Linked DNA regions of Rattus norvegicus. The protein of the gene in region 3 purifies or fractionates together with the protein of the main gene of each other region. This does not show direct contact. Links are inferred from orthologs where the notes say so. Each region holds a gene or a part of one and is shown on either strand. Other genes may lie near its edges.

Evidence for each region.
Region 1: the proteins of Prkar2a (region 3) and Akap8 purify together in Homo sapiens (affinity purification with western blotting; 3 studies listed by BioGRID and IntAct, with this or other methods). This does not show direct contact. The link is inferred for Rattus norvegicus from reciprocal best matches to the Homo sapiens genes PRKAR2A and AKAP8.
Region 2: the proteins of Prkar2a (region 3) and Akap9 purify together in Homo sapiens (affinity purification with western blotting; 3 studies listed by BioGRID, with this or other methods). This does not show direct contact. The link is inferred for Rattus norvegicus from reciprocal best matches to the Homo sapiens genes PRKAR2A and AKAP9.
Region 4: the proteins of Prkar2a (region 3) and Prkacb purify together in Homo sapiens (affinity purification with mass spectrometry; 6 studies listed by BioGRID and IntAct, counting the BioPlex papers as one, with this or other methods). This does not show direct contact. The link is inferred for Rattus norvegicus from reciprocal best matches to the Homo sapiens genes PRKAR2A and PRKACB.

Annotation. Positions count from the first base shown.
Region 1 is NC_086025.1:11,974,466-11,982,107, forward strand, and holds part of Akap8 (A-kinase anchor protein 8), read right to left. Parts: intron 6,444-7,642; coding exon 6,405-6,443; intron 5,513-6,404; coding exon 5,480-5,512; intron 4,819-5,479; coding exon 4,539-4,818; intron 4,159-4,538; coding exon 3,675-4,158; intron 3,297-3,674; coding exon 3,167-3,296; intron 2,995-3,166; coding exon 2,948-2,994; intron 1,829-2,947; coding exon 1,795-1,828; intron 862-1,794; coding exon of another isoform or gene 839-861; exon of another isoform or gene 703-838; intron 1-702. UniProt on the Homo sapiens protein: Anchoring protein that mediates the subcellular compartmentation of cAMP-dependent protein kinase (PKA type II).
Region 2 is NC_086022.1:31,040,358-31,047,999, forward strand, and holds part of Akap9 (A-kinase anchor protein 9), read right to left. Parts: intron 6,542-7,642; coding exon 6,389-6,541; intron 5,601-6,388; coding exon 5,421-5,600; intron 3,971-5,420; coding exon 2,933-3,970; intron 1,698-2,932; coding exon of another isoform or gene 1,563-1,697; intron 1,088-1,562; coding exon 602-1,087; intron 203-601; coding exon 139-202; intron 28-138; coding exon 1-27. UniProt on the Homo sapiens protein: Scaffolding protein that assembles several protein kinases and phosphatases on the centrosome and Golgi apparatus. Required to maintain the integrity of the Golgi apparatus. Required for microtubule nucleation at the cis-side of the Golgi apparatus.
Region 3 is NC_086026.1:118,322,099-118,329,740, forward strand, and holds part of Prkar2a (cAMP-dependent protein kinase type II-alpha regulatory subunit), read left to right. Parts: intron 1-2,007; coding exon 2,008-2,109; intron 2,110-2,257; coding exon 2,258-2,332; intron 2,333-6,175; coding exon 6,176-6,241; intron 6,242-7,642. UniProt on the Homo sapiens protein: Regulatory subunit of the cAMP-dependent protein kinases involved in cAMP signaling in cells. Type II regulatory chains mediate membrane association by binding to anchoring proteins, including the MAP2 kinase.
Region 4 is NC_086020.1:238,381,551-238,389,992, reverse strand, and holds the start of Prkacb (cAMP-dependent protein kinase catalytic subunit beta), read left to right. Parts: upstream 1-3,731; coding exon 3,732-3,777; intron 3,778-8,395; coding exon of another isoform or gene 8,396-8,442. UniProt on the Homo sapiens protein: Mediates cAMP-dependent signaling triggered by receptor binding to GPCRs.

The DNA.
Region 1 (7,642 bases), on a different chromosome or scaffold from region 3:
TGCAGGAGGGGTCAGCTCCAGGGCCAAGTTGGATGCTGCAGCTTGGCAGCCATACCTTGTGCCCAGCTTCCATTACTTTTGTGGCAGGGCTAGGATACCCCAAGGCACCAAGGTGTTGTTGTTAGAGGTTCCTGATGTACCAGGACCTTTGATGAGAACCCAGAGGAGTTGCCTCACTCCTCCCATGGCCTGATGGGCAGAGGCCCATCTCACTCATGGCCACCTACTACTCTGTTCTGTCCTAGGCTGCGTGTCCACTACAGTACTTTGTTGTTGGCTCTTCTCCCACATCACTCAGAGAGCTGCAAATATCCCCACACAGGCAGCAGCTGGGAAGCCTCAGGGAACAGCAAGCTGCACTGCCACCCTCCATCCCACCTCCAGGTGGGGTGCGGTGACTGTCCTGTTGGCTTCACCTCAACTGGGGACTCAGCAGGTCTGACAGTCCTTGCTGGCCCGATCTCTATCTTCCACTCACAAAACCAACAACCTTGGACTCTCCCAAGGCGGAGTGGGAAATAATCCTAGACACAAAAATGGGAAGAGACCGAATGGTCCTCCCGTCCATTCCCTGGGGCTGGCATAGCTCCCAGGAGAGCCCTGTGGCCAGCATCTCAGCATGAGACCAGCCAGAGCCCCAGGGTCAGGGCCAGGGCTGGATGCTGAAAAAAGGTTGGATAAGCATCTGAACTGTAACCCCTACCCCTGATGCCAGTCCCGAGACTGTCCCACGAAGATGGCGACCGGCGTGCGCTGCTCAGAAGCCTCTCAAAAGGACGTGTGGGACTTTTGGCAAGAGGTCACTGCCTGAAACTATGACTGCTGTTTAATAGCAAAGTCATCCCGGTTGGGTAGCAGGACCTGTGCGCAACAAACATGTCACCTTTGCTTTAGCATTTACCCGGCTGCGTGAGCTGCTCAATGCTGGGGGTTGGGGAGTGGTCCGCGCTGTGGACAAAACTTTAATGTGTAGGATGAGGGACACCTGAGGGTTCGATAACCTGAGAACCTTAGAGGAGCCATACGCCTTCTGACACTAAGGGATATGGGCTAGCCTGTGAATCTTGAGAGGAACCAGCTAGAACAGGTCTACACCATAGGGAAAATGACAAGTGGCTGCTGGGTGAGCCTAAGGCCTTGCTGCTCAGGCTGGTTCTCACCCTTGGGTATAACCTTTGTTGGGCTCTTAGGTCTCTTGCCTTTAGATATGGGCCTGAGTACACCTTACAGGCTATCCTCCCACGACCTCAAGATCAACCATAGTAGGTATTTGCTCTCTGTGCACAGGTACTGAAGATGCCAATATTTCTTGCAGAGGCCAGGGTACAAATTGAAGCTCACAACAGAGAGAGAGAGAAAAACAAAAAAACAAAAACAAAAAAACAAAACCAAACCAAAAAAACAAAAACAAAACAAAATAACAAAAATACCCCTGGTGGGAATAAAGATGGGCCAGAATACGGGAATAGAAAAGAGGCCTCTTTCTCTTCAGACTTCTGAAACCTTTTTTCCGAACATGGGTATCACAGATACCCAGAGATGGGTTTCTACCTCCTACAACTTGTATCTAGATCTGAGGCAAAGGAGCTCCTCCTTTCAGGCAAACCTTGCCCCAGACACTGGAACCACGCTTTGGGGATGGCTCCCACAGTGTGGGTCCACTGACGGCTGCAGTTCCTCTGCCATCAACCATGGCGTCTCCATGACAAGTCTGTTTTGCTCAGAAGCTGGCCGGGAGCTGGGCGGTGAGTGTGGGTCAGATAAAGGCTACAAAAGATGCTGGGTGACACCTACCTCTCTGCTTCCGGGAGTCACAGAGGTCGTCCTCCTGAAAAAGGGCACATACAGTGTCAGGCTGTGGGGTGGGGTCCAGAAGTCTCTCTAACCAGCCCAGGCCATACCTAGGATGTGGTCTTACCAGACCTCGGCCTGCTGTGGTGTGGGAAATGAGCAGCAGGAAACCTCAAGAGTCAAAGAGGAGAGCTCAAGTGCCCCGTTATAATTCACTGCTATTAGAAGACCACAAAGGTATTTCCTTTCCTACAGTGACCAACTCTGTTCTCTCCAAAGTGACAGAACCTGCCCAGTGGCAAACGTAGCCCATGTAGTTCTACACCACAGAAAGGCTTATCCACCGGCAGGGGAAACACCCAGTCTGGGGTATTCTAACTAGCACTGATTGTAAACAGGCTTCCCCAAGCTTCTTAGGATATATTTAGCACTCTAACAAATTAGTGTAAATACAGATCCTAGGGTTATCTAGGCAGAGTCAGTTCCCTGGGCAGGTCTAAGAGATGTACAGAGACCCCCAGCCTTAAGGCTACGTCACCTGAATGGGGAGCAAGAAAGAGTCTTAGAAAAACCTCAGTTATTGGTGGTAGGTGGGTGGAGCACTTGGGAAACATGGTTTAAGCCTTGGATTCTACCACCTGCTGGCCATAAGAAGAAAGCTGTCGCCCATCCTCGCTTGGCTCTCCACCCGACCATCAGAAGTACCCAGAGCAAACTTTCTAACAAACACCTTGTGCATTCCTCAGCAAGGTGGTGTGGCCCAAGACTGGCCTCTGCTGACACTCCCCAGTGATTGGGTATCAGGTCAAGAGGCTAGACAAGGTGAGTAGCACCCTGCAGAGCCCCACAATTAGAAGGCTGAAGGTTAAGACTCAGCACTGTAAGGCAAGGGAAATGAAAGAGGACAGTGGATGATCTTCCTGGGAGACCTGCTCTTTTCAGAAGGGAATAGGAGCAATGGATCTAGGGAAGAGGCCAGGAGGTTGGGGAACAGAAACTAGAATTAAAGACAAGCAAACACAAGAAACAGTTGTTACAGGCCACACACAAAAGATATATGCTTGATTTCAGCAAAAACAGCTATTTTCACCTCTGTGAGGAAAAAAAAGACAGAAGAAAACAAGGCCAAATCAACAGTCTGTGAAGGTGAACTTACCCCCCTAAATTCTTCATCTCCTGACCGTAAGTCACCAGCTCCATCATCTGCCAGACACAGGCAACAGAAGTGTCAGTCCCTAGGTGGATGGGTCTCAGAGCGCTTTCACATTCCCAAGCTCAGGGACTAGACTAGCAACAGGGCTCAGCTAAGGCAGTGTGAGCCAACAACGCCACCTCATTCCAGAGCGGGCAACTGACTCTGATCCCCAGAGCATACCGTTTTCAGAGAGGTCTCCTTCACTGTCAGCACGGGCCAGCTTGGCATCAGGTTCTTCATACAATGGAAACGGCTTCCGCTTCCTGCCCATGTTGTCTGGTCCAAAGCGTTCAAACCCCCTCCTTCTGGGCTACAGACACAAACACATGTCATGTACCTGGGCCTATAAGATGCCCCAGCATTTTTAAGGACAGAAAACAAAGGCAGGAAAAAGCCTTCAAAAAAGCAAGAGACTATAACAGAAGTCAAAAGCTTGAGAGGGAGCCAGACACACAGAACCACATGTACAACTCCATTGCTGTGAAATATTCTACAACAGGCCAACCCAGGGACAGAGAAGGGATGAATTGAGGGAGACATCTAAAACCAAGTGGCGTAAACTCACTGAAAGTGGGACTGTTCCCTGGGAAATAGGGGCATCTTACAGTAGACAAAGGTACACAACTTTCACCTCAACTAAGTTTTAGGAAGAAAAGGCAACAGGCCTGACAGAACTTGGTAAACTTACCCAATCCCGTATCCGAGTCTGGGACCGGCCACATCCATAAGGCATGGTGCCACCAAAACCGCCCACCCCCTGCATGCCCATCATGCTGTAGTCAGGGGCCATGGACTGGGAGAAGAGGGAAGGAGGCGGCCTGTTGGTGGAGGGCCCACCTAGACCACGTCCACCCATGTAGTTCAGCTCACTCCAGGTGGTGGATAAGGGCTCTGAGGAGGCTGAGGGTGGCATGAAGGGGTCACTACGTATGAAGGTGCTCGAGTTGCTCCGGTCCTGGAAGCGGCCCTGGCCCCGGCCCCTTAAGAAACCATCAAGGGCGCCTCGCTCTGGGGTTGGGTCCCGACAGTCGTTGAATGTCCCGCCAAAACTACCATTGCGGTCAGTTCCCAAGTCAAAGTCATAATCGTAACTGTAGCTGGGGCGGTAGGGAGTATGCTCAGGCATACAGGGCCTGGAGTCGTAGGACTCATATGGCTGGAAGCGGAAGGAGCTGCAAAGGAAGTAGACAACCCATCAGGAGCAGCCTACGGCACCCAGGCTACCCAACAGTCTGCCCTCTGCTAACTTTACACTGAGCTGACCCCCTTACATTCAGAACAAGAAACCAATCCACCCAGTATCTACCTAAATGCCCAGAAAGCAAATTGGCCTCAGAACACTCATTTAAACATTGCTAACAGAGAAGAGCATGAAGCCCCTGCCAGAAGAAAGAATCTTCGGTTAACTTAATTGGCCAACAGTTTAGGAATCCTCCCAACAGGGTCTAGCTCCTGCCTAAAACAGGAACAGGAAAAGAGGGCTAAGGCTTGGTACCCATTTTCATGATTCTAGAAAGGGATTCTACCAGGAAAGGTTGAAGGCCATAATCACCTGTCTCGGTCCTGCATGCCCTCCCCACCGCTGCTGATCCCACCCCTGCCTCCTTCCTTGGACAACATGTCCAAACGTTGATTGATCTTGGCAATGAGCGAGTCAGAGTTGTCGGTGCATGGCTCTGGGGCAAAAGAGGCCACATGCATAGCAGAACTCCCAGCTGCCAGGCCACCATCACTGGCCTTGGTGGCCTCCCACGAGGCTGGGCCATAACTATAGGGTGTTCCTGTAGGGACACTGGTGTTCTGGGCATTGTAGTAGCTGTAGTTTTCATAACCTATCAGAAGAAAGAGGAACTGGGTTAGGCCTCAGCACATGAGGCTAGCCATGACATTCTTGTCTGCAGAAGCACTCTCTGCCACCAAGCAGGAACCAAGCATCACCAACATCATACCACAATACGCAAATGATCAAGACCAGAGAAACAGCTGGCCACAGGTTGTAGTAGCAGTTTTTCTTTTTCTTTTTTTTTTAAAGATTTATTTTATTTATATGAATACACTGTAGCTGTCTTCAGACACACGGGAAGAAGGATGGTTGTGAGCCACCATGTGGTTGCTGGGAATTGAACTCAGGACCTATGGAAGAGCAGTCAGTGCTCTTAACCTCTGAGCCACCTCTCCAGCCCAGCAGTTTTTCTTTTAAAGACAGAAGGACTTGTTTCCTAATCAAAGCCAGAGGAGGCTAAGTGCCTCGGAATAGCAATCCAGACTGACAAAGACATTTGAAAACTGTTCCTGCACTCTATCCACGATCCCTCAGGAACAAGTTCAAGTCACCTTCAGGTCAGCCTAGCTTGGGCATGACTCGAGGCCCAGTGCCCAGCAGCCTCTATTCCCCATGCTATCAACAGAGATTTTGGGCACAGCCAGGATGGAGGGATAGGACCTGTACTTGACTCACTTGCCCACCTCAAGATCCCTTTCCAAAGGTCTTACCTTGCCAGCTGGCCACACCACTTCCATATGTACCTTGAGGAAAAAAACAAAAACACATAAGCACTTCACTGCACCAGAGTTACCTAAGGACAGCTGCTGCCTCACTGCACCAGAAGACAGAATGGGTACAAAGCACCATTGATATTTCTCTCTTGGGGCAAGCCTGACTTCTCCCAGGAAAGAAAGGTACAGTAGTCCCTAGGACGGTGATCAACTGAGTATCAACTGAGAGGACAGTCTGGCCTGGACCTTAGAAAGATCCCCTACATAAGCTCAGTTCTCATCAGGAGCCCAAACCTAGTTATTCCCGATCATACCTAGGGCATCAGTGGGGGAAAAAAAAATCACATTTTCAACCGAACAAGAGCACATTATGTGGCACAGGTATTGAGGAGACCTCCTCATGGGACCTCAATGATACACAAAAAAAAGAGTGGCTGGCCTCCAATGGTGCTAGGGTGTGACCTGGGACTAGAAAATTGGGGCCTCTTGTATGTTAAATACACAATCCTTTCAGAGTTCCTCTCAGATTTTAAAGATTTATTCTATGTAAGTACACTGTAGCTGTCTTCAGATACACCAGAAGAGGGAATCGGATCTCTTTACAGATGGTTGTGAGCCACCATGTGGTTGCTGGGAATTGAACTCATGACCTCTGGAAGAGCAGTCGGGTGCTCTTAACCGCTGAGCCATCTCTCCAGCCCCTCTCAGATTTTAAAAATGGTGGTAGGGTAGTAGAGTGATACAGGGAGTTTTCTATTTACTAATCAGCCTCTGCTCCCTTGTAGCACTCAATAAACTATTTTTCCTTAAGATAAAGAAAAAAGACAAACATACTCCAGTGAAGGCAGATGCTGGGCTCTACTACAAAAGGGCATGCAGTGGAGAAAACCCCAATTAAACCCATTAAACAGGAGCCACTTACCCTGGGTGTTGGCAGGTCCAGCACTCCATGCCCCATAACCTGCGAAAAGATCATGTGTCAAGATTCTATCTTACCATCAAGAAAACGAGGGTTCTGATAATACCCAAAAAGTCTGAAGGGATTTCTCTTTTCAGAAGTGTTAACTTACAATTAGGGAATGTAAATGTAACCTAGCACAACTCCATCCTTCAAGAACTGCCTCAGCCCCCAAATGCACGCAAACCACCACACTTTACCTGGCTGAGCTGACCAAAGCAAAAGAATTGGGGAAATGAACCAAATTTAGAGGATACAGCATTATGTTACAGTGTCTACCCTACTGGCCCAGCCGCCACATAACTGAGAAGACTCAAGAGTGCAGGCAGATATGCCACAAAACTGAAAAATGGCAACATAAACGTTAGGGTTGATTCCATGTAACTAAACACTCAATACCCTAGCCTCCACCTGACCTAGGAAGCCATCCCCATTCCCCTACTACACCCCTGTAAACATAAGGGGGAATCCCATTCTTCTCATTTGTGTTCCTGGAGCTTAGAACATCGTTAGACAGAGTGGCACAGCCCCAGGCTGTCAAAAGACTTCATTTTGACAAAATGAATGGTTATCTCCCTTTCCAGAATATCCCAAATCCACCACTCTAACATAGTCCCTTAAATGTGTAGACAGGTACTCAGCGAGTACCGCCATACATAATTGCTACTTAGAAACCAGGGAGGCTGCAAATACTCTTAACTGCGTCTGTAAAGTTATTGGAAGGTAGAAGAAAGTGGGAGTCACCATGAAGTTTCCTAACCCAAGAAATAAAACAGGGTTGTGACAGGTTATCTGGTGGGAAAACCTCAGAGTGGAAGATGCGGATCTAGGATCCTAAAGAAGGAGCGCTGTGCTGTCCCTGAAGATATCCAAGCACACGTGTTCATCACACCTCAGGCCTCTCTGCTAAGTCCAGTTCTAGGGATCTTGTTACTCTGCTGCCTCTCAAGATCCCTTCCTTAGCGGCCAGAAGCCAATAACCACTCCTATGCCCACTTCGAACCCCATTCCATATGTTTCAACTACCTCTTGTAGATAAATTTCGGTACAGAGTCAAGGCCTCCCAGGAGATTAAAAGCATATAGCTCGGGGCTGGGGATTTAGCTCAGTGGTAGAGCGCTTACCTAGGAAGCGCAAGGCCCTGGGTTCGGTCCCCAGCTCCAAAAAAATGAACCAAAAAAAAAAAAAAGCATATAGCTCGA
Region 2 (7,642 bases), on a different chromosome or scaffold from region 3:
GGCTTTGACCCCAGTCAGATTCTGAATCTAAAATTAAGAAAATGACCACCTGTAATTACATGTTTACATACAAAATAACACTTTTTAAATAAACACTATTTCATTTGTTTAAACATTCCAGAATTTTATTCGACTTACCACTGGAGTATACTTCTCTACTTTGATAAGCAACAGAATCTGCCAAATCAGAAATGGAGGATCCCTAATTAAAGAAGACAAAATCAGAATATACAAGACTTTAAAATTTATTTACTAAAATATTGGACCTAATGAATAATTCATCTAGTTTCTGATATGGCTAAGGGAGAAATAAAGACATCAATTTAATCTGTCATACTGAAATGATGCACAAATAACAAGTCTAATTTCCTCCTCACAGATGTTGCCATAGGAAGGAACACTTATGAGTTACAAAATCACAATAGGCTCCAAACCATACGGAAATTCATTATCTAACTATACAGAAAGATGCCACATTATGATTGTATTATGAAAAGAGGTATTATTCCTTGGATCCTTTTGAAATGTTTCTCTTAAAAGCTTATACTGTTGGAAGGCAAATGGCAGGACATAAAGAGTATATTCTATAAAGCCCACACACCTTTTTGCATCTCAGGTACTGGGTCATATCCTTCAGGGTCTCACACTCCTTAGTCAGTAACTGGATCGCAACAGAATGTTCTTTCTTCAAAGACTCGGTTTCTAAGATGTGTCTGGATTCCATATCCAAAATCTCAGCAGCATGGAGCTCTTGTATGCGCTCCATCTTTTCAGTAAACTGGTTGATGGTGTCTCTGAGTTCTTCTTGGGAGCGCTCGCTCTGTAAGTCGATCTGAACCCCAGCATGTCTAACAAGGATCTGCGGGGTCTGATTGCTGCTGCTGACCTTGCCCGTCCTCTCCATGGTCCCAGAGCCGCCACCTCCCTCAACAGAAGGTGACTCTGGTATGGGGACCCTTCTGCTTTCCTGTTCCCCAGTCCCATTCTCTTTTTCTAAGTAGTGGGATAATTTCTCCTTGGCCTCTGTGAGTTGATCTTTAACTTGGCCTAGGTCTTTCTGAAGTGATGTTATGTAGCTCTCTTTTACCTAAAACATGGTGAACAGAAGAGCAGAGAAATCGGTTAAGTCTTGTGTGGTTAGAAGCAGGCCTCAGGGTGGACACAGAGAGCACAGTTCATCGTCAGTGCTGATTTGCAGCGGGAAAGGAAAATCACAGTTAACTGGGGTGCTCCACAGTTATTGCACCCTTTTTTACACACTGCGGCCAGGTTACAGAGAAGTAAATTACGTCATCAGCCTCTGTTCTCATGGTGACTTTTAGTATTGTTTAACAAAAGCCTTACTTCTCCGTCACCTAGTACAGGTAAGAAGCATCTTCCCAACCATTACTCCCAGAAAAACAAAACGATAAGTTGCTGGTAAAGAAATGTAACCATGGAATTTTCTTTAAATCTAGAAAAGGCTTTCCCTAGCACTGAAGTTGAAGATCTAGACCTAGGGAACGCACTGAGAGGAAATGAGGTAAAAATGAATGAATTGGGAGCCATGTTGCTCATCTTACCAAAAGATCTTCTTCAAGTTTTTCTGCCCTTTCTTTGTAACTGGCGAGTTCTGAAGTGGCTGACTCAGCTTCAAAAGTTTCAAGGCCACCTGAAAATCCACTGCCTCCACCAGCATGAGTTAGCTGAGCAGTTCTCTGAGTGAGAGTTGAGGAGAATATTAGCACTGAGGAACCACAGTGATGTCCAAAGCACACCTACACTGCTTTACCAAGAATGGCTGCCTACAATCAGAGGACAAAATGGCTGAAGCTTGGTAAAATCAGCGCGGACTTTTGTTCAGAGCCATCACTCTACATGAAGATAATCAGAGCAATTTTCTGAGAATGAAGGTGAATAATGTCATTAGTATATGTATTAAAACACTTGGTTGCCATCCAAAACTTTCTAATTTGTTCCAGACATGACCAAGACACTCCTTACATGTCACAGGCAGGTCTTACCCATCTTATTTATTACTCACAGTAAAGTAGTTCCCAGTCTTGTTACTGAAATTATTGCCCTTTGCAATATAAACTAAGTCCTTGTATTGTCTTCTGTACAATAATAAATAAACACAGTTTTAGATCGTTGCCTAAGAAGACTTACAGATCTCTAATACAAGTTTTTCCCCCATGAACAACAAAATCTCAACAGGTATAGAATTTGTGAGAGCTAATGACTTTTTCCACATTAAATCAGTATATTAATAATGTGAAAATTTTCACTTCTTAAAAGGCATGATGTCAGAGCACATGTTTAGGAAGAAATTAAGGGAGAAAACCCACAGAAGTCTGGGAGAACAGAGCTAAAAGTAAATAATTTTATATTTCTATTTCAATAAATGACTTTAATGGAACAGATGTCATATTGGAAGACTACAGAATATAGTTTGCACTTGTTACTCTGGTGATAAAAATTAGTGTTAACTTTAACTGTGTCTACAGCTTTTTGCCCTAGTTTAAGGAAACTGCATTGAATACAGTATATAAGCAAATTAAAAACCTACCATAGCTAAGCCTAACAGCAAAATCTCCAGGCCAACTCTGAGCAGCTGTGCTTCAGGAAACTAGAGACCATCAACCAAAGATCATCCCCAAAGCCTTAGGCATAATCATTCAGGTAGCACTCTACTTCACTTGGGAGTTCTGTCTGTATATAATCCTATATACAGACAGGAAGTCTCTGAGTCAGTGCTAAACGATTCACAAACCACTATTCAAATAAAGTAATGCCTCTTCTTTAAGAACAGTATACTTTCATGAAATCTCATTATATATAAGTCGTTTGATGTAAACCAAACTCCAGATTTATCAGTAAACTATCACTGAACGAAGGAAAAGAATTACCTAGAGCATTTGAGTGAAAATAAACCATCATACTGAAAACTAACCTCTCTATCCCTAGGGCTTTGTTCTCTTTCTTCTTTCAGCCTTTTCTTGGCCTCTTCTAATAGCTTCTGTAGCGCCACAACTTCCTTTTCTGTCTCTGAGGCATTCTTCCCCACAGTTTCCATGTGTTTTTCTGACATTATATCACTAAGCACTTCAGCTACACGGCTCTCCAACTCTGCTGGTCTCACAGCCAGTGTGGGGACATGTGACTCCAAGTTGTTTTCTGCCAGACAATTTACATTCTGTGTATCTGTCCTTTCAGGTGCTGACGAGACCGTCTGCGTTTGCTTTTCTTGGTAGAGCTGCACACGGTCCTGAGCTGCCTCCATTTGGACCCAACTGACCAATGCAGCCGAGAACTTCTCCAGGATCTTCTGCAGGTTTGTGATCTTCTTCTGAAGCATTCCTATTTCAGACTGGTCTTGCTCTTGTATGGTGTCTATTTGTTTATGACACTGGGCAAGCTCGAAGTCCTTGGTGCTACCAGACCCCTGCAGTGGTAGTGACTTTATTTCTAGTATTTGAGAAGCTTTAGTGCTTTCTTGAAGACACATAAGGGAGGTCTGACTTTCTAGGGGCTGGGAAGCATCCTGGGCAGAGGCACCTTCTGGCTGCAGTTTGTCACAGCCAAGCTCATGCACAGTCACGTGGACACTTTCCTTAGGGACATTGGGAAGTTCTTTATTCAAGTTGCACAGTGCTTGTGTCATGTGATCCATTTTGAAGTTGATTTCTTTAAGTACATTTTTCAAGTCTGTCAGTTCCTGGTTGGTGGTCTCTACTTGCTTTTCTAAACCCAGCTTTTCAACAGTCACCCTGTCCAACTGGTGTTTAAAGCTCTCCTCGTCTTCTGGGAGGGCCCTGGCACCCTCTCTCTTCTGCTCAGTGCTGACTAACTCCTGCTGCAATTTCTCAATCACGCCATTGAGTTGCTCTGCTTCCTCTGCTCTCTGTTTCTTCATAAGTTCTTGTTCACTCATCAAACATTCAATCTGGGTTTCTAAATCTCGTATCTGGTCCTTTTGTTCTTCAATGACCTATTATTTAATGAAAAAGGATGCATACAAAATAAATGTATATTATATTCTGGAAATTCTATTTTAAGAAGTGACCTAGCAGAAATGAGTAGTTCCTAAACCAACATACTGTCTCTGACGCAGAGTGCTATTTCCAATACAGACCAGCAAGATAACCTCCTCTTATTTAGAACTTCATTCTGGGAGTTCTGTTAAACTTGAGCTCAAACCTGAGCAGTTCATTTCCCGTTTGGAAAATAGTATAAGTGCGTCCTCTTGAACAGAATGAAAGAGGACACACAACCAACGACTTTCAAGCACACCCAATAACACACACTTGAACTTCGTTAGCAAGCGCCTTCCCCAGCTGAGCCATGGTATGTTTTTAAAATTGGATGGGAGAGGGCGAGTGAGTGAGAAGGCTCAGTGACTAGGTGTGCTTATTCTGTAAGCATGAGAAGTGAATTCAAACCCCCAGCATACACATAAAAAGCTGGGCAGGACTGTGTGGGCCTGTAAGCCAGCTCTGAGAACCGGAGACAGGCAGATGTCAAGAGCTCACTGGTCAACCAGACTAAATGGAGAGCCTGTGTCACGGCAGTGAGGCAGAGAGAAGCAACAGAACATGCCTGATGCCCTGCTCTGGCCACTGTGTGCACAGGCACGGGCACACGTGTCTGCACACTCAGGTGCACACACCCTATCCCGAGGGAAATTCAAGAGGGAAGTGAGAATTATCACTATTTCGTGTTTTACATTTTAGTTCAAGCCTCTGACGTAGTGGGTCAGTGTTAAGACAGAGAGATGCAGCTCCCAGGCAGGGTCAAGTAAGGACTGGTGACAGGAGCAAGTGGGGGCTGGAATGCCGCCCTTGAGAAGAAAATGTTTTTCTCACTTGGCCTTAAACTATGTTCTGCTGTGTCCTGTTTCTGTGAAAGCGGTTCTCACGCTCTCTTGGTAATGGCGAGTATACTTTGATAATAAGAGGGGTGATATGTTATGTGAATATTTTGAGAAGAAACCTTTGTTTAGTCGTATTTCTTTGTTTAGTCTTGCCTCAGTTGTTCCTGGTATCGTGGGAATAATGATTTTATGGTATCTTGCCAAAATAAAAATTATAGTAACACATATTCATATCTATATAAGGATTAATAAAGCTTGCAACTGCGTGCAGTTGCTTCTGCCTTTGCTCTGCACGCCCTGTGTCCTGGTTGTGTGCGACCGTACCCAGGGCCTCCAATGCACTAGACGTTGACAGGTCAGGATGTTGCCTGTCAAACAGGCGAGGTGAGTCTCACTTCTGGGGTTCACCCGGTTTAAGGAGAAATTACACCCACAAGCTGTTCACTACCTCTGAAACATTGCAGGGTAAGTGCAAACTCACTCCCTTCTCCAAAATAGGTAAGTGTAACAAAAATTGAAAAACTATAACTCCTATTAATTTTGACAAATAAATTTAAAGTGGACACACCTTGTTATCTGTTGTGAGTTTAAGCTGCTGCTGGAGTTTTATAAACTGCTCATTTAATCGGTCAATTTCAATCTCCTTTTCTTGTATTAGCTGCGCAAATTTGCCAAACAGCATGGGCTGATCCTGAGTCGACAGAGAATCAGATTCCTTCATGGTGAACCCGAGTTTTTCTATTTCCTCCTAGGGACGAAAATAATTCTCATAATTGTATGACATTACATGTTTCAAAACATACCTTGAATTACGTCTTAGAAAACAGATGGCATGCACATAATAAATTAAAATAAGATACTTCAATATTTAAAATATATTGATAAATGATCTCAAATATTTTCATTATGATAAATTCAAGTATCTAGGTTAGGCAGCAAATAACTCCCATGCAAATTCATTTGCCTACTAATAACTAATATTGTTGGTAGCAAATATGTTGGGGGTTGGTCTGGTGCTATGTGTACAAATGCTGAAGTCTGACACCCCAAGATCTGACTGCTGTCTGGATAAGTGAATTCACATGTACACTGGCCTTTGTTGTGTAACCCTTGATCCCCAGTTTAATTCCTGACTAGCCAATAAATGGTTGGGGCTTATGACTGGCAGAAAGGATAGGAAGGTAGGCCTGAGAATGCAGTAGGGGATCTCGAGAAAGACCATGAGTAGAAAGAGGGTGAATAAGGGCAGGAGGTCACTGTTACACGGGGTAACAGGAGCATTCGCACACGACAAGTGCACCTGGGGACAGACTGATGACGCAGAACAGCCCTGTTGAGACTCAGACAGCGAGCGACAAGGGGCGTAGGGCTGAGATGTGAGACTAGCATAAAGCCTGTCCAATCTAGGACTAAAGCCCGTAAAAGAAATACCAGGTTTCTGTGCCTATTCTGCAGGCTGCTAGGATAACCCATTACACAAATAACTGACAAAAATACAAAGTATCAAAATGTGAATTATTCTTCTAAACCAATTACCTTAAATAATCTGTTTTCTTGCTGGAGCTCTTGCAGGCGGGTAGTGGACTCCTTTTTCTGAATTTCTAGCTGCATGAGAAGCTCCTGAACCTCTTCATTCTTATTTTCCAGTTCTTCCCGAAACTGCTCTAATTGTTCTTCTAAGTTGGTGATCTTTAAAACCAAAATTATCCGAGGGGGAACAAAAACAAAAAACAAAACCAGTTCATACAGATGTCACTGTCAAACAGAAAGGAGATCTATTTTACAAAGCATGCACTGGCATTTACATGTGCTTACACATTCAAGTCATGTTTACTGCTTCATGCCTAAACATGCTCAAGCTGAATGTCTCTGGTTTCTGGTCTTTTTGAGAGATAAGGTTTCTCTATGTAGCCCCGGCCATCCAGGAACTTGCTATGTTTGAGGCTAGCCTGCCTCTGCCTCCTTCAGTTTTAGAAATAAAGACCTATGTCACCATACCTGGCTTCAAACTACAGAAAAGATTTCTTTTTATTATTTTGATTATATGTATATGGGTTGACCGAGGATAGTAATAACCATTTAACCAACTACTTCACAACTACTTAACAGGTGTTTAATGAATGGATACGCAAAAGCCTGTTTGAATGATCAAAACCGCTACAATGCAAGCAACTTAAGATGCGGAAGCAGCACTGGTGGCAGCTGAGTTGTGGCCTTACAACCTACAGGGTAATCTGTTGTTTACGCATGGCATCATAGAATTAGCATCCCAGTACTCACAAGCAAGGCTTTGAGGTCAGCCTAGCAAGTCCAATAAAAATAGTATAATACTAGCAATAATAGTCAAATTTGCAGCTGGGATGATAGCTCAGATGACCACATATGAGGGCCTGATTTATCCCCATCACTCTGTGTAAAAAGCTAAGTGTGGTGGTGTGAGCTTGGAATTGTAGCACTGAGGAGTTGGAGACAGGATTATCCCTGGGGCCTGTTGAGATCAGGCTCCTCTACCTGTCCCTACAGGTCCCCATGGTCTCAGAATAGATGGTTGATGCTTCCTGAGGAATGACACCTGAGGTGGACAATGGCCTTCACATACGAGGCCCCACTAAGTACACAGTCACACACACACACACACACACACACACACACACACACACACACACACACACTAGACTGTTCCGTAATTATTATTCCCATTATATAGAAGAAAGAAAAGTCACAAAGAGAAGCAATGAGTCCTCAGCTCACACAGTCAGGGTAAAGCCATCTCTGAATTTACAGGGATGA
Region 3 (7,642 bases):
CCTCAAGATTAGGTGGGCATTTGAGGTAGGGGCTTGTTTGTTTGTTTTAACGCTGTTCACAGTCACAAGAGCTGGCCTTGCACGGCATAAAATAAAAGTTCTGGGAAGTATAAAATCATGCAGACAGAGGATCAGACTTGGCTGGGAGAGATGCCCAGTGGTGGAGTACAAGGAAGCCCTGAATTCAGTCCCCAACTCTGCATAAAACCAGGCATGGGAGCACATTTTCTGGTTATGTGGTGAATTCAAGAGCAGCCTGGCTTACATGAGAACTTGTCAAATGAAATTAAATAAATGGATGGATGGATGGATGGATGGATGGATGGATGGATGGATGGATGGATGGATGGGACAAGAACCCCAATATGTAAGTCACTGAAGAAAGTCTCCATTCTTTTTTGTTGTTGTTGTTAAAGAAGGTTAACCCTTTTTTTTAAAAGTATTTTATGTCTGTGAGTACAGTGTAGCTGTCTTCAGACACATCAGAAGAAGGCATTGGCATAGGGGGTAGCCTTCTTTTACTCTGTAGCTTTGGCTGACCTCAAACTCACAGAGATCTCAAACTCACAGAGATCTGTCTGCTTCTGGCCCCTAAGTGCTGGGATTAAATGCATGTACCGTGGTACCCAGCAACAGTACTTGAATCTTTTTTTTTTTTTTTAGATTTCTTTATTATTATATATAAGTACACTATAACTGTCCTCAGACACACCAGAAGAGGGGATCGCATCCCATTACAGATGGTTGTGAGCCACCATGTAGTTTCTAGGAATTGACCTCAGGACCTCTGGGAGAGCAGCCAGTGCTCTTCACCACTGGGCCAACTCCAGCCCATGTGATAAGTTCTTCACCTCAGAATCAGAAATCAATGCAGATGATGTAACCCGTGAGAGCAGTAAAGACTCAGTAGCTCCTGTCAAGCAAGCAGATGGTGAAGAAAACGGAGACCAACTTAACTCAGTGCCAGTGCTGTAAAATAGTGAGTGCACTGTAGTTTAGAGCAGAGGAGGAGGAGCCCACAGTCGCCCGTACTGGGCATGTAAGTGACTTCTCTGATTAAGTAGGTGAATCATGGCATGAGACAGGGCTGGGAATTCTGGGCTGATGGAGGTACAAACCGTATTGCCTCTGTGCGGTCTCCACCATGCTCCTGCCTGTCTTCAGAGACGCGAGGAAGCTGCAGCTCTGCTCTCTGTACTGCGTCTTCAGCCTTTGTGTTTAGGATGTCATTGCCGTGTGCAAAACATTCATCTCTGACAGCCAGAGGTAGAAGAAAAATACTGCTAACTTAGATCCAATGCCAAATCCGTTTTAGTTTCTAGTGTTGCTTAATTAGGCCTCCTGCTGCTGAGTCCTCTGTCTGTTGAGTGTCTGAGATCACAGGCTTACACTGCCATGCCCTGGAGTCCACCTGGAAATGTTTGCCTCTGTACTTTGTACATTTCTGTTCGAATGCTATCTTGAGCTTTTAAAATTCCTTTATATTCCCTCCAGCATACAGCAATTGCAAAAATCCTTCTCTACTTTATACTTTGTTCTCTTTTTGTTTCTGTTAGAGATGGTTATTCAGGCAGGCCAAGAATTCTCTTGTAGCCTAGAGCAATCTTGGATGTATGGTTTTCCTGTCTCAGCTACTAAGTGTTGATTAAGGCTATGGGTCCTGTGTATCTTGTGTTGTCTTTTCTTTATAGTCACAGACTCTTGATGGGCATTATTTGCCTTTTCTGGAGGTATCTTTTGGTACTGTCTAATACCTATGAGCACCCGGGTATTTAATGGGAGTTTTGTTTTGTGATCTATTTACGCCCCACGGCGGCACTCATTGAGCACAGCAGCACACTACAGTTTGGAGACTTGTGCCTAGCTCAAGTCTGAGGGGTTTTTCTTCCAGCATCATTAAACCCTGTTGATTAGGGACTTCCAGCTCTCTAGCAGTGGTTCAGCTACTTAAACCATAGATGTTCTCTTCACAGACATATAGTAGACTTGCCCTGTGTTTTCCTGTAGGACCGGGTGACTTTTAGGAGAATCATAGTGAAGAACAATGCAAAGAAGAGGAAGATGTTCGAATCGTTTATTGAGTCTGTACCGCTCTTTAAATCACTAGAGGTAAGGCTTACGAGAGTCTGTGTATGTGGTTCATGAAAAGCTGTTAAAACTGCTCTTAGGTCTTCAAATAATACTGTTCTGATCTAGTTGTAACAGTGACAGTCAATCAAGGTTTTATCCTCATACTGTAACTATATCCGTTACTTAGATGTCAGAACGAATGAAGATTGTGGATGTGATCGGGGAAAAGATCTATAAGGATGGAGAGCGAATAATCACTCAGGTGAGTTGGGGGCTCACACAGCTCCTTTTCTGGAAGTCCCCATCACAATGAACAGTGTGACCTGCTTGCGGACTGAGTATGGTAACGCACATCTGTCATGCCAGCATTTAGGAGAAGTAAGCTGGGTGGTGGTGGCACATGCCATTAACCAAGCACTCAGGAGGCAGAGGCAGGCCAGTCTCTGAGTTTAAGGCCAACCTGGTCTACCCTGTCTTAAAAAATAAAACAGAAAAAAAAAAAAAAAGAATGGGGGTGGGGGTGGGGCTCTGAGTTTGAGGCCATCCTGCTCTACATACCAAGTTCCAGATCACCCAGAGCTGTTTAGAGATCCTGTCTCAAAAAAGGAAAAAAAAGGAAGGAAGGAAAGAAAAAAAGAAGAAAAAAAATCACTGGAAGCTCATGTTGTCCCTTCTATAGAGACCTCTGAATGCTGTTCACTGAGGCCCATCTCCCTGAGACGTTAGTTGAAGTACCAGGGACTGAACTCACATGCTGAGCAAAGGCTTCTGCCACTGAGCTGGGTCCTTGGTCCTTTTTGTTTGTTTCGAGACAGCGTGATCAAGTCGTCCTAAACATGGAAGCCTTCGAAGTCTCTGCGATTGCACCATGTGCTGCTAGGCTCGGACTGCATTCATTTAGGGGTGGGCTTCTGCCGTTTGTTCTAGTGGATCTAATTTTCTTTTGACCCTGAGTAAACTTTATTAGTCTGTACTAGACAGCTGGGGCTTACGCTCCCTTAGCCCTGTGCTGACACGGGAATCCTCAGCATCCAGTGACTCCTTGATATAGAGACCCTTTGTGTCTTTCTCATGTTATTTTTAATAATGTTAGATCCCACACAGTAAACTGGACCATTATACTTAAAGAAGACTGCAAACTGGGCATAGCAGTGTATGCCTAAAATCCCAACACTTAGGTAGAGGCAAGTGGGTCGGGAGTTCAGGACCACTCTCAGCTACATAACAACTTTTGGCTCTCCTGTTCTACATGTAATATCTTTTAGAAATATTTCCTCTGTCTACTGTGTTTGTATTTTAATTACATGTAAGTAGTTTTAGAAACTTTTCCAGATATAAACTTACCTGCCCATGGATCTGACAAGACCACTGGGGAAGGAGTCTGGCTGAGTCCAGGTGGACAGTGTATAGGGCCTTGTTCACCCAGCTGTGGTGAAGAGGATGGTTTCAGGTCAGGGTGGATCCCAGGCCTATGTGCTTGAGTCCCATTCATAGAGCTGGCCCCACCCAAGCCTTGAGAACTAGTCAGACTTACAGTGAAGGGAGAGGAGAGCCCACTACAGCACTGACAGAAGTACCCTGTTCATCCCAGTTCCAGCTCTGAATGGCTCTGCTTGCTAGGTGAAGACTGGGGTAAACAAGACTCAGTAAGGCCCACTGTGATGTGTGATGATGCACATGTGCAAAGTGAGAGTGTAGAATAGAGGTAACTAATCCGTGTTACTCTGGAAAGGAAACTGCAAGTGCTTGTTTTTTACAGGTTTATACAAAACTTAATTTCTTCCTTGAATATGCAGAGTACAAATATGATGAAATGTCCGTGTTTACTTTATGAAGTAAAAAAATCTGCTCACATTTATATTATAAATTTATTAAGGCAATGAACTGTATAGAAAAAGCCCTCATTTGTTCTGCTTAAAGCATTGCATAAGCCATTCTGCACATTAAACATTGCACTCCAGTGCATGACATGCTGTCTGCATAGCATGCTGGCCAGTGAGGCTGCGGGTGTATGCTGGCCATCCCTAGGGGGCTTCTATCTTTCATCTCAAGTTATTCTGCCCACAGTTTCAGGGGATACCAGCTCATCATGGAGGCAGGAACAAGTCAGGCCGTGGTAATCAGAAAGAGAGTGAATGAAAAACAGGGGAATGTCTCTCTTAGTGACAGAGTGAGGCCCCGTGTTCCAAAGGTTCAGTAACTTCCCAGGAAAGTGTCTCCAGATGGGGACAAGAGGTCAAATACATGGACCTTTGGGAGACATTTTGCATTCACACTGTGACACAAAAGTCTTTCGGGTTTTTGACAGGATCTAACTGCATAGCCTAGGCTAGCTTCAGACTCACAGCAGTGTTTCTGCTTTAGCTGGCTGCGTGCTGTGGTTATAGCCATGAGCCGTCATTCCATGCTGGAACTGGTGATTCACTCAAGCGAATCAGCCTCAAATGGTGTCTCTCTGTTTGGGGTTTGAAGTGGTGGGTCAAGCAAAAGACTGACGCTTGGCAGGGCGGACTCTTACTGAAGACAAAGTCCACACCAAGCTGGGCATGTGGGAGTGCACTTGGGAGGCAGAGGAAGGGGTGCTGATGAAAGTGAGGCTAACCTGGAGACAATGCATGCCAGGCCAGCCAGAACCACGTAGGCAGACCTGTCTCAGAACAAAGCACCAACCAGTAGCATGTGACTGCCGTTGTTCTCCGTGGTTTGACCCAGAGCTAACTGTGAGGGTGAGAAAGTGGAACAAGCCGAAAGCTTTGTCTCCTGTCTGCTTGCCTGAGTCTCTCTTCCTTCCAGCTTTTGCTCAGATTTCGCCTTTCCCTAAAGCTGTGTTGTCCACAGTAGCCTGTCCATCTACCGCCAGTTGAGAGCCTGTGGTCCCTGTCCTGTTCTTGTCCTGTAGCACTTGCCACCCTCCCACACAGCTGTATAACTTATTATTAATGTTCTGTATTATCATATTTCTTGGTATTAGTTTTATGTACATAGTACGTCATTTGTTGAATTACCTGAATGGCTTGTTCAGCTAGGTAGTTTAGTAGTAAACCAAGAAAAAGAAGGCCTACAGCTTAGAAAGGCAGCGTTAGAGCTTGTGCTCGAAGGTACAGCCATCTGCATCCATGCTGACCTCTTCCTGTGTATGGGGGAGGTGGTGGTGGGGGTCAAGGACAACCTTCCAATGTCATTGCTTGTGCTCAGTCCATTTTAAAAGAAAGAAGAAAAAAAACCACACATAAACTAAAACAAAAACTAAAAAGCAAGGTCTCGCTTGGTGTGGTGACACACACACTTTAATCCCGCACTCAGAGGACAGAGGCAGGTAGAACTCCAGGCCAGCCTGGGCTCTACAAAGCAAGTTCCAAGACAGCCAGCCATGGCTACACAGAGAAACCTATGGGGAGAAGGGTACAAAAAAACCAAAACAACCAAGGCCTCTTACTGGCCTGCAGCTTTCTAAAGTTGGGCTGGCTGGCTAGGAAGCCCCCAGGGATTTGCCATATCTGTCCCCGAAGCACTGAGATTACACTTGTGCATTACCACACTTAGCTCCTCCCACCCCAAACTTTGGCTCTGAGGACTGACCCTCAGGTCACTGTGCTTGACTTACAATGCTTTCTCCCTTTTTCTTCTTGAGGACTGTGTTTGTTGATCAAGATTGTTCTAGGCCTCATACTCTGGGCCTTACTTTGACACTATGTGCAGTATTCTTGTATACTGGTCCCTAGAATGGGCTTCAGCACACCGACAGACAGGCAGAGCAGGGATGCTGTGAGGTTGGTGGCCTGGTCATATTCCTGGAGGTAAATATGAGTGCATAAGACAGAGGAGAAGTGGGCTGGGGATTTAGCTCAGTGGTAGAGCGCTTACCTAGGAAGCGCAAGGCCCTGGGTTCGGTCCCCAGCTCCGAAAAAAAGAACCAAAATAAAAAAAGACAGAGGAGAAGTGTTAGTCATAATGGGGCCAGTGTCCTTACTGACCAGGAACCTCTGGTTCATTACAAGTCTGTTAGCCATTGACCCACTTGAGCAGTTGGAGACAGAGCTCTGAGGCCGACAGCGCTCACAGTGTTTGGTGTTCGGTGTCTTTGACCTTGCCTCCTCTTTTTCAGGGTGAAAAGGCCGACAGCTTTTATATTATAGAGTCTGGAGAAGTGAGCATCTTGATTAGAAGCAAGGTGAGTTTGGGCGCACTGTGCACGTGTCCTCGCGCCAGTGTTTACTTTGTTCAGCGTGGCCTGTACTTTAAAAGTTCCAAGCCATTGTCCCCAGAGCTCCCATGGACTAAACCACCAAGCAGAGGCACACATGGAGGGACCCATGGCTCCAGCCACAGAGGATGTAGCAGAGGATGGTATTGTCTGGCATCAGTAGGAGGAGAGCTCTTGGTCCTGTGAAGGCTCGATGCCCCTGTGTAGGCAAATGCCAGGGCAGGGAGGTGGGAGTGGGTGGGTAGGAGGGGGGCATCCTCATAGAAGCAGAGGGAGGGGAGATGCGGGGGGGGGGGGGGCAGACCTGGATAGCATTTGAAATGTAAATACATAAACTATCCGATTTAAAAAAAACAACGGGGGTTGGGAATTTAGCTCAGTGGTAGAGCACTTGCCTAGCAAGTGCAAGGCCCTGGGTTTGGTCCCCAGCTGGGGGGGGGGGGGGGAGACGTTTAAAAAACAACAACAACAAAAGATTTAGTACATTTTCTCTTTTCCCGATTTTGCCTCTCTCATATAATTAGTGAAATGAGGATTACTAAGCTATAAATAAGAAAACTATAAAAACTATAAATACAGGAGCATTATGTAACAGGTACATACAAGGTTGGATGTGAAGACGGCATCCACAGTTTAGGACTCCTGGGGAAAGTCTCCATTATGTTACTCGCATGGCTCTCATGGATAGACAGAGGTTGTAATTGATGACCTGTAGCTCGGAAGAATGCTGGATGGCCGCTATCTTTTTTCTTTATCCCTCTCCTCCCCCTTCCCCCCTCCCTCTCCCTCTCCCCCTCTCTTTCTCTCTCTCTCTTTCTCTCTCTTCCTTCTCATGTAGCTCAGGCTGGCTTCAAACTCAACCATGTATATATCTGAGGATGACTTTGAATTTTCAGTCTCTTGACTCCACTTCCCATATCCGTGGAGGGATGAAAAGACTAAAGATGTAAACTAGAGTGTCTTAAATTTACATTTAAGGGGTTGGGGACTTAGCTCAGTGGTAGAGGCTTGCTAGGCAAGCGCAGGGCCCTGGGTCCTCAGCTCCTTGGGGGGTGGGGGGGAGATTTGCATTTAAATTGCATTTAAAGATAATAAAGAAGGCAGGGCCGGAGAGATGGCTTCCCAGTTAAGAATGCACAGTGCTGCCTAGGAAGTGCAAGGCCCTGGGTGGCCCTGGGTTCGGTCCCCAGCTCCGAAAAAAAAGAACCAAAAAAAAAAAAAGAATGCACAGTGCTCTCACAGGGGCTCTGAGTCTGTTTTTCACAGCAGCTCCAGGGAACCTGATCTCCTTTCTGGGCTCCCTGAGCACTTGCATTCGCAGGCCCACATACACAGACTTAAAAACCAGTGTTTGCGGGCTGGAGAGAT
Region 4 (8,442 bases), on a different chromosome or scaffold from region 3:
ACCATCAGGATGTTGTAAGAGTATGCACAACTTCCTCTTACGAATGTGTGTATGCGTGTTTACACAACGTGGACACACCTGTGAGTGGAAGCACACACGTGTGAGCATGTGCAGGCTCCGCAGTGATGTTAGGAGTCTCTCTTCATCTTTGTCAGCCTTTGAGGCAGCACGGCTTGCTGAACCTGGAGTTCTTAGTTCTACACTGGCCTGACCTAGCCTGGCTAGTGAACTTGTTCTCGAGATTCCATCTCTCCTCCTTCCCTGGTGGCTAGCATCCCCTCTGTCCTTTAAGAGGGTTGTAGAAACAGAAACAACCTGGCTTGCCAAGAGCTTTACCTGATGAGCCACCTCTTAAGTGCCCACCTTTCTAAGAGGTGCCGATCGCCTCCTTCCAAATGGACGGTAAATGGAGACTTCTCTCTTACTAGAGATGACTCATGACTGAAAATAGGGTCAAGGGAAGAGAAAAATCATGTACACTTATCATTTCAGCTAGTGCTCAGGCCTGCATACACGTAAAAAGTCACTGTTAGGGGGGCAGCAAGAGTATTCTAGGGGGTCTAGGAAGGTCCTTCTCAGACAAAGTCGATGAAATTTGGAGTGTATGTGGTTTGTTAGTGGACTTTTAAAGTATACGAAACATTGCATTCACAAAGCTAAAACTGGGAGGGGTGTGATATCACTGGGTGCCGACATAAACCTCACATCCTGTGATCTACTTGCTTTCTCCCCAACCCATCCACATCTCTCTTTGAGACAGGATCTGTGTAACCCTGGATGTCCTGGAACTCACTGTGTAGCACCCGTCTATGCTTCCTTAGTCTGGGATTAACGGTATGGGCCTCCATGTCTGCTCTCCTTGCTTCCTTACTGTTGCTATTCTATTTGTAGTTAATGAAACTCAGGGAACAATATAGTCAACATTCTCAAGGACTAAACTAATTCTCTATCTTGCCAAGTCACTGGGATTTTATATGGAGGGAATTTGATTTACCACAACACAGATGTCTTACAGTATGAACAAAAGCCACACTTTTCCCCATTAATTTATTCATTTTACATCCCAATTGCTGCCCCCCCATCACAATCTCCCCTCATACAGTTCCTCTATCTACCCTCTCCCCTTCACCTCTCAGAGGTTGTGTACCCCCTGGGTATCCTCCACCCTGGCACATCAAGTCTCTGCAGGGTACATCCTCACCCACTGAGGCCAGACAAGGCATCTCAGTTAGGGGAATGGGATCCACAAACAGGCAAGAGCTTTAGGGACTGCCCCATCTCTGGTTGCTGGAGGACCCACATGAAGACTGAGCTTACATTTTGGAGCCCAGCTGCTTATCAGAGGACAGAACACTTCTCTCTGTTTGTCTTAGTTAGGGTTTTATTGCTGAGACACCCTGACCAAGGCAACTCTTACAAAGGACAACATTTAATTGGGGCTGGCTTACAGTTTCAGAGGTTTAGTCCATTGTCATCATGGTGGGAAGCATGGAAGCTTGCAGGCAGACCTGGTGATAGAGCTGAGAATTCTACATTTTGATTCACAGTCGCCAAGGAGGGACTGTGTCACTGACCTTAGCTCGAGCACAAGAGACCTCAAAGCCCACCCCACAAGGACACACTTCCTCCAACAAGGCCACACCTCCTAATAGAGACATTCTCTGTGGCCAAGCACTCAAACACATGAGTCTATGGGGGCCATACCTATTCAAAGCATCACACTATCCCCCTTCAGTTTTTGTGTGGGTTCTTTGGTTGGATGTAGGAATCCAAAAAAAAAAAAAAAAATCAGAGCTGATTAGCCAGAGAAACAGGTAAATTATTAATTTTATAAGACATGAAGATCTTCACAAAAAGTAAAATCTGAAGAAGTGACTGATAAAGTATTTTCATACTTCCTTGGACAAATAAAACATTTGGAAAGGACTAATTGGACAAATATATATGTCGATGATACCGCACTAAGTTTCTGGCATGGTCTGAAGATATACATATGTACATGTATGTATATATGTATATGTATGTGTGTGTGTATGTTTGAAAGTTATATCACAGTTTATTCCAGTTGGTGGTGGCCCCAATCAGTAGTATCGAGTGATTAAAGTTATTTTCTGACCTTGGTATGTAAACGACATCTTCTCTAAACAATGGTCTATTCTTAAGTTATAATTTCTCAATTCATTTAAAACCAAAATAATAAATATACCATTCTGGCATTTTTTCCAGATGGTATGGATTTACCTTCTTCATTTCAAATTCTTCTAATTAGGTAATATCTGTGCGACTTAGGTAAGTCCTTTAATGTCTCTGTGCCCCCGCTGGACCTTAAGTAATACAATGATAGTAACGCTACATTTTCATAGAGACTTTATGAGGAAATTACTTACTATTTGTACAACACTTAGAATGCAGTATACTTGGTGTGCACGCTTGGCTTTAACATAATTGCCAATAAGAAATAGAAACATGACTTTGTTTAGAATCTTCCAGTCACCGCTGCTTTTCCCCCCAGTAACAAAACTTTAAAAACGTTCTAAGAAAAATCTCCTTAACTTACTTTCCAGTCAACAGACATCCGTTCATTATACCCCAATTTTAGTTTGAGCTGCAGATATTAATTTACATGGTCTCTGACCTTCCAGAAGTTAATCTTTCTGTTATAAGTCTGGAATTCTTGCTTAGATAGCAAAGCTCAAAAGAATACAGTACAAAAACTACTAGAGAGCTAGGTGATTAAATATCTAATAACCTTACAGAAAACTTAAGTTCTCTAAGATGCATAAAAACGCAACAATCAATTGGGAATGTATTTATTTTGAAATTTACACATGAAATTTGTGACTCTGATGATGCACATAACGTACTTGTGTAAAAACAGTAATACATTCCCGCATCTCTCCTTAGAAAGTCTGACAGAAGAGGGTGATTAGGTGAGACCAAGGAAAGCGAACTCGGGAAGGAATAACCTGTCCAGAAAGTTGGCGATAGACCTAGTGTGTTGGAAGAATACCTATTAGAGCGAAGGAAAGAAGTTCCAGTGGCAGCTGGCCAGCGTTCCTGGCCAAGGCTGACCTAAGGATCAGCAGGGTCCGCAGGACGCGGAGGAGCGCACGCACATTCCTCTAGCCACCGAGTGAGCAACCTTTGTATGCGGAACGCGCGCAGCACGGATGTGGGAGCAAGCCGAGCCCTGGCACTGTGCCCCGCGTCTGGCTCTACCGCACCGGATACCACCCCGAGGAAGGATTTGGGGTGCTTCCAAGCTAACGGTTTCCATGTCCCTCGCAACCTCGAGATTAGCCTCCGAGGTCAAGCTCAGCATCCACTCTGGAGAACAATTATTTACCACTTCAGCGCTACACAGAGGGGTTCCTGTCCAACCGGGGGGGGGGGGGCGCTTGCGTACGTCACTTCCGGCGCGCCCGCCCGGAAAGAGGCGGAGGTCGCACTTTGGGTGTGCGTTTACTGGGGACGCGCAGTGTCGGGGACGCGCCTGGAGGGCGGGCTCGGGAAGGGGGAGTGTCTGCGCGCCGCCGCCACCGCCACAGTCCCGGTTTCTGCCCGGGAGCTCGCAGCATCTCTTCTAGACACCCAGCCGCTCTGTGCACCCGGACGCTGCGCTCCAGGGTCTGTGGGAGTCAAACAAAAGCAGGAGTTGCTGCAGACTGCGGGGCGGCGGGACGGCCCCGGTCCCCTCCCCTCCGTCACTCCTGCTTACGGACTCCCGGGTCATGGGGAACACGGCGATCGCCAAGAAAGGCAGCGAAGTGGAGAGCGGTGAGTCCAGTTGAAGGCCCTGGCTGGGTTCCCGCCGGATAGGCTGCGGTGCAGCACCCCGGGCCGGAGTCCCCCAAGGCCGCGAGCCACGGACCAGGCCTCGCGGCGGCCGCAGCTAACAATTCCAGGGGCCCCGGGGGCCAGCCGCCTCCTCTGTCCCCTCCCCCACTAAGGCTCGGGGGTGAGGGCCGAGCTCCCGGGCTTGCTGGAGGGAAGGCGGGCCGCGCGGTCCCTGTGATCCCCTGTTTTACTAGAGCGAGGAGGGCTGCCACGGTCTGGAAAGCTTCCCCAAATATGGTCCTTAAAAGAAGTCCCTTTTGTGATCGCACCCTTAGCTCTTCTCCCTTTTCCCAGAGCCCCCAACACCCTAACTCCTCTTTTAGGGGAGCTACAGGTAGTGCGTTTGGGTTGAGTTGGCTCTTTTGTTACTTCTCATGGATCTATATATCAATCTCATCACAAGGTGAGTGCCGGGTGTGGGTCTCCAAAGGTGACGTTAACCCTCAGTGTCTAAGGCTCTTTCCTTCACCCACATTAGGGATGGCAGCATAAACACAAGCAGCAACTTTATCCATTCGAGGGGAAAAAAAAAAGTGAGACAGCTTTGTTTTTACTCTAGACATCCAGGAATGCACCAGGATGCCTGTAAAACTTAAAGGTATTTCAGAGCTGAAGTGCTTTCTTCTGAGAGCTCAAAGTGCAGACATTCAGTACTTTATACAAAATTTCAAGAGTCGTGGAAGTGTAGTAGCACGGTTTCATATGTAAACACACACATATACACGTGTAGTGTAACAGGTTGTGAAAAAATCGTGTGCCATTATACGGTTCATATCATAATTTCTAATTCAGAATAATTAACGAACAGTACTTGTCTTTTGTTACATTGTAAATGACATCTCAGCCCTTGAAGTAAGTCTGACAATTTGTTCGTGTTTCTGTAAAAAATATCTTCCGTTATGTCTGTGTTTATAGCAGAAGAATACAGCTAATCCTGTAATTAGCTTGAAACAAACAGCTTTTGATCCTCATGAATACAGCAGAATTGAATCGACAGACGGTCCAGCTATTGCTTTTGTGGAATGTAAACCACAAAGTCAGATTTAGCGGGTTGTTTCATTAATATGGTTTGTTCCCGGACAGTTATATGGACAGTAGTGCAAACTGTAGGTGAGCATGTGCCAATTTGAAAAGCCAATGTAGAATTAGGACTTCCGTATTATCTTTATTAATTGTGCAAATGTAGTAACTAATCGTACAGACTCACAAAAAATGAAGTATGACAAAATTTTATATCCACTTAACATTACCCTTCCCCTATTTCTCTTGTCCAGTCTATGCTGAGTGAGTTATGAAAATGAACCTGATAGTTGGATCAGTCCAGGAATGTTCTTAGCAAGAGCTGCCTTTACAGTTCTTGTGTTTTTAATGATAATCCACTCTCCAGTAGTCTATACATTTCTGCTATTATGTTTCCAACCAGTTCCCCCAGATGATGTGAATTTAAACTGGTAACTACGACAAAGTCGTGTGTGAGTTTATTTATAGAAACTGAAGATCTTTAGAATAATTTGCAAAATATTCTGAAGTGTGGAAAGAAGGTAGCAGATGTCTCATGGGAAATCATATGAGGCATTTGTGGATCAGCTCTCATGCCTCCATTTGGAGAAATGTTAGCTGATGTGCTGGTGTTCTTCTGTAGTAAAGAAGTGGTATAATTTCATAAAACTTCACGACAAAACATGTCTTACCATTGTGTGCCTAAATGTTCTGTATATTTTCAAATGAATTATTCTTGAAAATTTGTGGCTCATGTTTTAAATGTAATTATTTAAATTTCTCTTGATACACAGAATACACTTGTAGATATATGTATGATCTTAAGAGTTCAGTCTGCACTCATCCTATCTCAAGACCCAAGCAAGCGCCAGCCCTGAAGAAGCAAGGGTTGAGATCGTGTTCTTAATGAGAGAGTGAAGAACAGCACTGATGCTTGCACTGCATCCCACGTCACTAAGTAATTAGTCTGTCCTCTTTCAGAGTAGTTACTACCCACTTTGGGTTTCCCGGTAGACCCTGTGGACAAAATCCTAAGGTTTTACTATGTAGTATCAGGTGAAAGGTAGACTGTAAGTGCTGACACTGGGAGTAAAATTAGAACACCAGAAATTATCAGCAGGGAAGTTTTTGATTTGAAGAGCTAATTAAAGATATGAAGGTAAGATCTGCAGTTTGATGAGGAAGAAGCCTCCCACAGACAGGTAATTCTAGAGTTTAATTCTAAAAATACTCCCAAAGAATGAAGTTGGGGATAAAGATAAATGCGAGGCTCTGGTAGCTCCTTGTTTTTTGTTTTGTTTGTTTAGGGGTTGTTTTTGTTTGGGGATTGTTTTATCAGTGTTGTTTTAGTTTGATTTGGTTTGGCTTGACTTTTTTTTTTTTTTTTTTTTTTTTTTTTAATTTTTTAGCTTTGATCATCCAGGGCCTTGCTCCTACACCCACAAAATTAAAGGATTCCATTCTGATCTCCACAGTTTCTAGAGATAAGTTAATTTGAATTCCTCAGAGAATGGGGGTGTTTCAAAGAACAACTTTTGGCTTTATATAAGTCTCCTATGTGTTTTAAAAATTACTCTTGAAACAATGTCTTCCAAAATTTGAGTATACTTATTTAAACATCATTTAATACACAGAACCTTAAACTTTTAGAAACAAGAGGCTACAAGTCTCAGAGATGTTTCAAGAGTACCTTATTTCCCAGTTAAATATGTTGCTCACATAGCCTTATTAATACAAAAGAGGGAAAAAAAGAAACCCACAGAGCCCCATGCTTTTCTTTTAATCAGGGAAATGTTTTTGTTCTTTTAAAACATATTTTACATCTCCAGGCTGTCAGTGATCTACATATTACACATGGTAAGCGTGTCCAGGTCCAGGGGTAACCACTGTTGGGTGTTAATTCTCCCATGAGCAGAAGTAGGAAAGCTATTCTGTAGCCCAGTGGTTTTATGATGGTTTTTGGAAATGACCTTGGAGCTTGGACTAGATGAGGTGGCACACACCTTTAATCCCAACACTGGAGAGGCAGAAGAAGGCTGTTCAAGGCTTCTGAGTTCAAGGCTAGCCTACTCAATATAAAGTTGAGGTCAGCAATAGTGACATCATGAGACCTTGTCTCAAAAGAAAAGGAAAAAGAGACCTTGAGAATAGGTAGAAACTGATCAGAGAAAGTCATCAGTAGATTAAGTTCAGCAAATGCAAACTTCTTGGTTCTTCTTTTTTTTTTTTTTTTTTTTTTTTTTTTCCAGAGCTGGGGACCGAACCCAGGGCCTTGCGCTTCCTAGGCAAGCGCTCTACCACTGAGCTAAATCCCCAACCCCAAATGCAAACTTCTTGACGTTTTGGAGAACTAGTGTGTGTCTTTCTCTGGGTGCTTTGCACACATTGCCATGCATACCTTTTCAAACCCTATGGAATGGTTCTAATGTTGCCCCATTTTCAAAAGTGGATAAAGAAATGATGTGTAACTGGTTAAAGGTTGCATCGTAGTTAATCAAGGAGTGGCATCTGAACTTAGGCTAGAATCAGAGCCTCTGACCTAAGAGTCCTGCTGAGCATTCTTTTTGAGTACCCAGCAGAAAGTCAGCTGCAGGACAAAGAATAGCCAGTTCTTTGTTTCAGTTTATTAATGATAACACACTTTATTACTTCCAATGGTAACTCTATTTGGATCTACTGACTATCTTAAATAAGGAAGATTATCATTCCTGTACCATTTTCTAGATTCATATCATCATCTAAAAATGGGGGCAGGGCTAAATTATTTTCTTTAGGTATTTCATTTTCAATGCTAAATTAACCATATATAACCACCTTTCTACTCTTAAAACCTTCATTGTCATGTGGTTTATTCCTCATTTCTAAATTTACCTTATCTTCCTGTTAGGTAGTAAGCAAGCCAAGAGGTCAGTTGAACTTATATTGCTATTAATGAATTTAGGCTTTTGTGTCGTACCGTGATTTTAAATAGTCCTATGATGGTAGATATGTTCTCCACGTCACTGCTCAGTGAGGTGGTTTCTACCCAGATGCTGCTGTTGAGCACATGGACCGCAGCTGCACCACGGAAGGACTGTATTTTCCCTTGCACTTGTCTAGATGATGTTTGGTGGGTTGACAGCCTGTTTTTGACAAGCGCTGTCTTTACATTTAATAAAAACGCCAACCCTTAATCTATAATTTTGTTAATAAAGAGTGTATTTAGATGAACAAAATTCTAGATATATATCTTCTCAAAATCATCAGCATTTCTTCTAAGTAACGACTTATAAACATAGTGTACAAATTAAGATGTAGTAGTTTGATAGACTCAAAAAGTTCCCTGAAGTTCCCTTTGGTGGAAATGTATATTTGATTGACAGTATTTTAGGATCAATTGTTGACAAGAAATGAATTTAGTTTTCTCTTCTTATGTCTTTGTACTTTTTATTTATCAGGTTGACAAGTTTCTTAAATGGTAATTAGAAGTGGAGTTGTCAATAGACTGGCAGAGGTACTTGGGAATAGTTTTGGTTAAAAGATAAAACAGAATTATGAACTCAACACCTGATCTCTTTAGTTCTCGGTTTCTATTTTCGCGTGGATTACTGTTTAGAGCTACCTCCC